Linked DNA regions of Ovis aries. The protein of the gene in region 1 interacts with the protein of each later gene in a biochemical or structural test. Links are inferred from orthologs where the notes say so. Each region holds a gene or a part of one and is shown on either strand. Other genes may lie near its edges.

Region 1 (4,589 bases):
CACTCCCTCTGCGTCTCGGGCTCGCGCGCGCTGCCGCGGCACCGGAAGTGACTGAGCTTGCAAGTTCCCCCGGTCTCTTCAGGGAAACTGAGGCCGGCTCGTTCGGAAGATAGAGCGCGAGCCGTCAGCCAGGTAGGCCGGCCCCGGTCCGCGGCGCGGAACTTAGCCGCGAAGAGCTCTCGCGCCCGGAAACGACCTGGCCGATGAAGGGGGTATGTGGCCCCCCACGGCTCCCGGGGCTCGCAGGTGAGAGCGCCGCCTCCCCTGTGCGTGGCAGGCGCTGCGCCCAATGGGAGCCCTCGCCGTTCTGCTTCCGTGCTACCTGAGCTCATTGATTGGCTACGCCGGGGCGGGCCGCCGGGGGCGAGACCCCACCTCCCAGAAAGGTCTAGGGGGCGCCCCTGAGGGAGAGCGGTTGCCTAGCAACGGGGCGGTGGCCAGGCGGGTACCCGGCCTAGCGCGCGGAGGAAGCCGCGAGGCCGCAGCCCACCCACCCCGGCCTCTAGAGAGGTGCAACCCCGGGCCCCTAAGCTCCCGGGGGTGCCAAGAAGCCAGCCTGGGCCTGTCCCCAGGAAAACGTAGTCTCAGCTGTGGGGGGTCTCGAGCAGGCCTCGACCCTTGTCTCTGACCGGTGGAGAGGCTCGGCGCCTCACCCTCGCCCGGTCTTTGTGCAGGGCGCCGGCGGCCATTGTGTCCGTGCGGGGAATGGAGGACCCGGCAATCCCCCACTGCCACCGCCACTACCAGGGCCTTTGGGGAATTCAAAGAAAGCCAGCGGCGTTTCTGGGGGGTCTCCGGCTTTCAGCCTCCCAGAAAGGCCCGGGGATGGCCTTTCCAAACTCAGACCGCAGATCCAAGGCAGTGTTCCCCTCCCTCTGTTTCTCATCGAAACCTTGAGCCCCATCGAGAAGTCCCTTCAAGGTTTCTTCGGAAGCCTCACCCAGGGCTGATACTGAAATAGAAAAAAAAAAAAAAAAAAACTAAAGCTCACACCAGCCACCTCCGAGAGAGTTCTCCTAGCTCCCAGTAGGAGGCGGAGAGCCAAGGGGCGTGCAAGAGCGAGGGGGCTGGGCTCCCGGGTGGCAGGAGGCCGCGGCAGCGGCCGCCCTCGATCGGGGCGATGGAGGAGGAAGCAAGCGAGGGGGCCGGTTCTTGAGCTTCGTAATTCCTGTGTCGCCTCCTGAGCTCTCAGTTCGCCGGGTCGCATGATCCCTCCAGCCGGAGCTGCTTTTTTTGCCAGCCGCCGCCGCGAGGCCGGTTGACTTACCGGCATCCCCGCTGCCACCTCCTCTCCCACCTATGATACAAAAGATCTTCCGGGGGCTGCACCTGCCTGCCGTCGCCTGAGACGGATTTGAATGTAGGTGGTGAGGGTTTATGGGGGTGGGGGGCAGACTGCCCATGGGGGTGACTTTTCGAGGAAGACATTTCAGAGAAAAGGGGGTGGCTGGGATAAAAGGGGAGGAAAAAAAGGCCGGTGTGATGATTCAGAGCCCACTGGTGCTTTCAAATTGACTTCATCGAAGTACCTGGGAAGCTAGACCCATATCTTCATAAGAGCGGCAGAGAACCCAGTTCAAGTACCTGGAGTGGGGAATGGGATATTGTAGGTAAATGGCTTGCATATTCATTTTTTCCCCCCTGAAGCTCTTTCTTTCCCTTCAGAACCTTGTCTTGCCTTTGGATCTTCGAAGAGAACCACTAAGCAGAGACCAGACCCAGTGAGTGAGCAGGTGTTTTGGACAATGGACTGGTGGAGCCCATCCTTATTATAAAAATGTCTCAGAGCAACCGGGAGCTGGTGGTTGACTTTCTCTCTTACAAGCTTTCCCAGAAAGGATACAGCTGGAGTCAGTTTAGTGATGTGGAAGAGAACAGAACTGAGGCCCCAGAAGGGACAGAATCAGATATGGAAACCCCCAGTGCCATCAATGGCAACCCATCTTGGCACCTGGCGGATAGCCCTGCGGTGAATGGAGCCACCGGCCACAGCAGAAGCTTGGATGCCCGGGAAGTGATCCCCATGGCAGCGGTGAAGCAAGCCCTGAGGGAGGCAGGCGATGAGTTTGAACTGAGGTACCGACGGGCATTCAGCGACCTGACGTCCCAGCTCCACATCACCCCAGGGACAGCATATCAGAGCTTTGAACAGGTAGTGAATGAACTCTTCCGGGACGGGGTGAACTGGGGTCGCATTGTGGCCTTTTTCTCCTTCGGTGGGGCACTGTGCGTGGAAAGCGTAGACAAGGAGATGCAGGTATTGGTGAGTCGGATCGCAACTTGGATGGCTACTTACCTGAATGACCACCTAGAGCCTTGGATCCAGGAGAACGGCGGCTGGGTAAGAACCACGCCCCTTATGTATTCCTTTTCCTTGGCTTCTGGTCAAATCCCCAACAACCTTTCCCCTGTGTCTGTTGTGCTGGGTGATTATTATTGTTTGTTAAGGAGACATAACTGGCCTCTTTGTATCACAGAGGTTAACTTCTGAAATACAGATGACCTAGTTCTGTGAGGACCAGACATCTTCATTCTGGTCTTCCTCGTGACCCTACTCTGTCATACTTGTGTTCCAGTTTCTCTGCAGAAGATAACATAGCCTGTGTGTTCATTTGGCCCCAAACCTTTGAGAATGCAAAGGTAACAGGTTACCCCTCACCCTGACATAATGGCTCACAACGTTAAGGGGTGATGAGTGGAATGCCTGGAGAAGATAGTGAATATCAGTGACCCACCAGCCCCTTCAGTCTTACTCCCTTGAGCTGTCAATCCTGTCCTGGGCTTCCCTCCTCCAAATCAGGTTCCCCTTATTTCAGAGTTTGCATGGCCTGGCTTTGCATCCCTCTGGATGGCTGAGGATTGTCTGATTTTAGGTTGTAAGCTGCGCCAATGGGCCAGTTGTGTTTGTGCTGTGCCCCATATTTATTGGCTCTAAAGTATGCGACTTTTCTGTGTGGTTGGCCAGTTTGCGGAGCGCTTGCTGTCAGCCCAGGGACTTTGCACCTCACTGCCTGGGTTGGTTGGGGAGCTCCAGCTGTTATGCTTGTCACTTTTCTGCCATGGCCCTGGGGCCTCTTCACTGAGCACTGTTTGCTGGCAATGCAAGAACCTGATCTTTGGGGCTCCTTGGGACATTGAGATTCAGTGACAGACTTCAGAAACAAACTGACACAGATGTGAGTCCCAGCCCTGTCACTTAACTAGGTGTGTGACCTTGGACAGGCCAGTTTACCTTGAGCCTCAGGTTCTTCCACTAAAAAAATGTGGCCAACCCTCTTGCCTTGCAGTCCTTGTAAATCTTGGAGCTGATGTGAGCATAGTGACAGGAAGTTTGCTCTAGTAGTTACTGTCAGATCCAGGTACACCTTCTGAAACTGAGTCGTGCCTCATTCCTTTGCCAGGGAAGAGAATTCCCTTGCCCTGATATCACCAAGTCAGGATGAGCTGGTGTGGAGGGATTCTTTACCTGTGGTCACTGTCAGCAGCTTTTGCTCTCTTGCAGTGAACTCAGTCATATCTCCTCGCTTATCTCCCTGCCTCAGGGAGGTGTAGGGCTTAAGAGAGGTATTCATTCTGTCCTTCAGAAAATTGAGCAGGCTGTGGAAAATAAGTCATCTATTGAAGGAGCTGAGGTGGAAAGGGCCACGCACCATGGACTCAGGAATGTTAAGAATGCAATTATCCAGAGGCTGGGCCTAGGGTGTGGCAGCCACTTCAGTTTACCACTGAGCAAGGGACCTCCAGGTACACCACCCCCTGTCTTATTTCCCATTTCTTTGCAACTTCATCAACTCTTCCCACTGCCAGTTCTTATAAAGAGCAGAGTAGAGGTCAGATGACCGGGGTGGGGCTGGGAAGGTAAAGGTGGAGGGCTTTCTTTGGCTCAGACTGACCCAACTTGAAAGCCTTTCAGTAAATGAACTCCCTGGGGGAATAAATGATTAAATAGTTCCTGTTGGTTTGTGTGATGACCTCTCTTTTTCCCTCCTGCTTTGATTTTCTTTAGGGGCAAATATTTGTTTAACTTACTACAGGAGGGACAGGATTCCAGCGTTTCTGACACACCCTCTGAGGCCTAAGTAGAGACTTGGGCCATTTGCCCCTCACTGTTATCTCTGGCTGGTGGTCCTAATTCCATGTGGGTTGTGGCCAACTGTTAACAAAAGGCAACATGGGAGAGGTTCCTGGCCTGCCAGCCAGTTGTCTAAGAGGGCCACCTGGACCAGAGAGTTGTTAGTCACCCAGTGTTGCGTGTGGAAAGAGGTCTTTGACACAGCAACACTGGGCAAGATCATTAGATCACCACTGGATTGACATTCCATCTTCTGCTGTCTCTTTGCCCAACAGCATACCATGTGTTACTTCCTCTTGGTGGACAGAGGGGATGTGTGCAGAAGAGCCAGTTATATCAGAACCGTTTCTGGGCACGTGTTCTTCCCGAGGCCAGGAGATAGAGAACATGTGACACTGGGATCCTTTGGGTAGAAGGTGCCGCCCACTTCCTCTCGGGGACCATTCTGTTTGAGCTGCACACTGGCTGCTGCAGTGGCATCTCATAACCTTCCTGGAGGCTGTGCCTGGGGGATCCA
Region 2 (4,458 bases), on another chromosome or scaffold:
CAATTTGCAACCTCTGCATTATATAGATAATAAAAGATATATATATATATATATATATATAGAGAGAGAGAGAGAGAGAGAGAGAGAGAAGGGCTTCCCCGGTGGCTCAGCCGTGTAAAGAATCTGCCTGCAATGCAGGAGCTACAGGAGACACAGGTTGGATCCCTGGGGCAGGAAGATCCTCTGGAGGAGGGCATGGCAACCCACTCCAGTTTTCTTGCCTGGAGAATTCCATGGACTGGACAGAGGATCTTGGTGGGCTACAGTCCATGGGGTCGCAGAGTCGGACACGACTGAAGCGACTTGCACGCACGCACATACATAAAGAACACTTATTTTCTAAGAAACTGTGATTCCTGGGAAGGCCGCAGATGCGGGTAAGACGTCCTGCTCGGGATGGTGCTGCCTGGGTTCAGACCCCCTCCTCTGCTCGCGGCCTGTGTGAGCTCAGCTCACTTCATCTTTATAAACCTTCAGTTTTCGCACCCGGAAAGTAGCCACAATGGTGAGAATGTCCGCTTGGTTGGGTTGTTCCGAGGACAGGATGAGAAAGTGTCTTCGGAAGCCCTCAGAGCCAAATTCACAGGATCTGTTCTCTAGTACGAGTGACTGCTTCTCTTTATAATAATGGAATTATTCCCGGGCCAGCCAAACATCGGGCAAATACGTATTCCCAAATGCCTCATTTCTCCCCCCCCCCCCCCCCGGGGGAGCTTTTGAAAGCTGTCTACATGATGACCTACTATTTTTTGGTGTTGTTTTATTAAAGCGTCTGGAAGGAGGTATGAGACCGACCCGTAGGGAATACACTCTGCTTTTAGAACCACTGTCCTCACCCGGCGGCAGAGAACAGCCACTTCCCTTCACCCGCTTTCCTTCCCCCCACCCCCTCAACGCATTTTCCAAACCCAAACAGGGTTTCCTCTCTTGCTCCAGGCTTTTAGTTGGCAGTGAGCTTCCCAACCAGTTTCAGTTTCATTTAAGCTTCCGGCAGCTTCTCTACTGTAATTAAGTGTTCTCATTTTTCTCTGAAAACGTCCCGTACTCCTCGAGTTTGAATACTGTCCTTTCCCGAACCCTTCAGGGGTTTGTTTACGAGAGTCTGCGACTGCCCGTTTATGATAGGGATGACGCTCCAGGCCTCCCCATCTCCAGCCGTTCGCGAGGACAACCCTTCCCGGTTCGCAGCTCAGAGACCCAGCCACGCCTGCAGCCAAGTCCTCGGTCCAGGAAGTAGCTGCGGGGCCGGGTCAGGCTCCCTCCCCCGCTGCGCCCGGCTCGCCCCACGCCGCCTGGGTCCCCGCCCTGGCGGCGCCGGGCCCGAGCCGGGGGCGGGGCCGGGGGCGTTGCGGGCCCAGGGCGGGGCGGGGCATGGGCGGGGCCCGCTGTGGGTTTCGCTACGTCACCGGGAAGTCCCCATACGACCCGAGCGCGCGCTGCAGCGATCGCAGAGCTGCGAGGTTCTTGCAGGCGCCGGTTCAGTTTTTTCCTGCTCTGTGCAGACCGTCGTCTCCTGCCCGTTCTCCCCTTGCAGCCCGCGTCCTGCAGACCCGAGGTGCTCGGGTTGCATCGCTGAGTTGCCCCGGTCTGCCGACAGCCGTCTGCAGAGATGCCTGGAAGGAGGGCTCGTAGGAGCGCCCAGCCGAGCCCCACGCGGGTCCCGGCAGGTAAGGAGAGCTGGGGCCCGCGGAGATCCTGGCCGGGAAGGGGGTCTGGGTCGCGGTCTCGGTCTGGCAGGGGCAGCCCGTCGCCCCGGGGCCTAAGAGCCCGGCGGGACCCGCGCCGTGGCACGTGTTTTAGGGGCGCCTCCGGGACGCTATTCGCGGGTTTAACCCGGGGCGGTGGGGATGGCGAGGGAAGGGGTGAGCCTTGCGATGGGGATGCTGCTGCGTTTGAGCGGCGGCCGAAAGCCTCCTCTCCTTCGCCTGCCTTCCGTCCGCGCTCGCCCTCCCCGGGGCCACGCGGAGAAAAGTCATGGTCACGGCCCGGGGGCTCCGCTGGCGCTCAGCGCTTCCGGAGACAGGCCCTTTTCCTCCGGGGTCCAGCACCTTTTGAGGACCCTTCTGTGTGTCTGACCGCTGTCCCCAGCCCCAGCACCAACAATAACGCTTGATGCCATCACAGTTCTGCAAAGGACGGATGGAGGGCTAAGGAAGCCCCGAAAGGACCAACGACGTCAGAAGCCTGGAAGGCCTGGCTTCTTCGTTAAAAGCATAACATTTTAACAGTCGGTATTAATCACAGAAATGCCATAGAGAAAAACAGGAGATGGTCCACAGTGTTGTTTAATCCATCCCTTCCTCCGCCCTTCCCCATCCATGTAGCCCCATTAAGTAACTTCAGGTCAGCTCTCCTCCTCCCCGCTTTTATAAATCTTATCAAATAAGGCAGACATCTGCTAAGGAGCAGTAGCAAGGAAGTAAGACCGTGGGCTGGAAATCCGTGTGGGTCACACTGCTGTTGCATCAGACAGTGTTGGGCCCCTTTTACACTTAATTTTATGGAGCCCCTGGGGCGTGCAAAGGCAGTGGTGCATAGCCAGTGTGGCCGTGGCTAAGTTGGCACAAGGCTGCTCTCTGGCTCCTGCTTCGGAGGGAAGAAGCTTTGTCCATCTTTTGTGATGTCCAAGAGTTCTGGCTGTGTTGCAAGAATTGCATAACCTTCACGGTCCAACTTGGCCCCCCTTAATAAGGGACAGCAAAAAGGTCCCTCTTAAACTTGATTAGATGGTAAGACAAAAAAATTGAGATGTAAGTGAGGTAGAACACTGTCTTAGTTTTAGGTGTACAGCCTAATGATTTGATATATGTATCAATTGTGACATTATTACTGTAACAACTTTAGTTAACATCCATCACCACACATAGTTATGTTTTTAATTGATACATTTATAGATGTAATAAAAAGATTAAGGAAACAACTAGGTGCCATTTTCTTTTTTTTTTTTTGATGAAAGGGATAATTTTTTGTTACAATTCAGGTCTTTCAAAACGGTAGGCTGAACGATAATTGTTTTTTTAGCATTGTGTTAGTATTTCTAACTAAATACCCAGCTCTTGTAAAAAGAGAATTTGGTTATTTTGAGCCTAAATAGGGAATTTGCAGGGACTGTTTACAAAGTAAATCAGTTTTTAATTTGTAGTCATAATGGGTTTTAGTGATCATGAACATGGTATTGAAATGTACGAAAAAGAAGCTGAATTGCTTTTTGAACTATCCAAGAAAATCGTAATTATGGTCAGTATTGGTTTGGTGTTGATTTCACTTACTTTAAAAGTTTACTTAGAAATTAGATTATAAATATTACTTTCACCTTATATTCAGTTTATTACAGTATCTTAATCTTAAAAAATAGTAAACATGTGAACTAAACATTATTTGTTTTTTGCTTCACTCATTTCCATAGAGGCAGTGGATTGGTACAGAGTGGGAAGAACTTGTTTTAAAATGTTAAGTTATTTTAGAAAATAGGGACTTAATTTTAGAATAAGCTGTTATGAGTCTTTCATGAGAAAACTTGAAAGAGTTGTTTAAATAATTATATGAGGGCACAATCAGAACTATGAATTATTGCCATTTACAAAATGAGCTGTACTTGAAAATAACATAAAAGAATTTAACTTTTCTTTCCCTAGCCAATCTTAAGTGAGAAAGAAAAGGATGAGATCACCTGAGGCTGTGAAACTCACTCACTCTTTGTGGTGTATGACATAAATGTCTATATTTGAAAGTAAGATAACATTACTTCATCCAGGATGCTCAAAAAAAAAAAAAATCACAAGTTAAATGTCTTTATTTTTGTTTAATTATTTCTTATATATATATTTGTTTAATTATTTATATTTGTTTAATTATTTAATTATGTTGTTTATGAGTCACTATATGTTAGTGTATGTCGTGTGTGTATAAGTTGCTTTTCTTTCTTTACATTCAGAAAACAAGTGTATATGAAGTTAAGATAATGCTTTATGGCGTAAATACTCAACTTGTCCTTGGAATGGGCCTATTAACTCTTGCTGGTTGCAGTTTGCAATGTCAGTGTAACTTTGATATTTTGCTTTCCTTTTCAGATCCTGAAGTTGAGTGTGCCATTCAGTTGAGGAGAATTGGAGACAAACTGAATTTCCGGCAGAAACTTGTGAATCTGATAGCCAAACTCCTCCGCTCAGGAACTTGACTTAAGAAGCGTTCGAATGAGGAGACTCCTTTCAAAGGAAGATTTCCCATTAGGTGCAAATTTCATCAATTAGAGGAGAGACTGCCTTGTAATGGGGAAGAATGTGAAGGAACTCTCAGTTGCTTTTGAATGCTCTTGGAAATGAAGATGGATGCATGAATTTTTGTCGGAGGTTTGCCAGAAGTTGTTGTTTGGGACTCGAGAACATTAAAAATCCACTTTTTATTTTAAAACAAGAATGGAGGAGCTTTGAACATGGGGAATCAATTCTTTATACATTT

The links.
Region 2: the proteins of BCL2L1 (region 1) and PMAIP1 interact in a biophysical measurement, tested with the Homo sapiens proteins (3 studies listed by BioGRID and IntAct, with this or other methods). The link is inferred for Ovis aries from reciprocal best matches to the Homo sapiens genes BCL2L1 and PMAIP1.

Annotation. Positions count from the first base shown.
Region 1 is NC_056066.1:60,937,154-60,941,742, reverse strand, and holds the start of BCL2L1 (bcl-2-like protein 1), read left to right. Parts: upstream 1-1,737; 5' UTR 1,738-1,777; coding exon 1,778-2,341; intron 2,342-4,589. UniProt on the Homo sapiens protein: Potent inhibitor of cell death. Inhibits activation of caspases. Appears to regulate cell death by blocking the voltage-dependent anion channel (VDAC) by binding to it and preventing the release of the caspase activator, CYC1, from the mitochondrial membrane.
Region 2 is NC_056076.1:59,079,372-59,083,829, forward strand, and holds the start of PMAIP1 (phorbol-12-myristate-13-acetate-induced protein 1), read left to right. Parts: upstream 1-1,447; 5' UTR 1,448-1,609; coding exon 1,610-1,667; intron 1,668-4,070; coding exon 4,071-4,177; 3' UTR 4,178-4,458. UniProt on the Homo sapiens protein: Promotes activation of caspases and apoptosis. Promotes mitochondrial membrane changes and efflux of apoptogenic proteins from the mitochondria. Contributes to p53/TP53-dependent apoptosis after radiation exposure. Promotes proteasomal degradation of MCL1.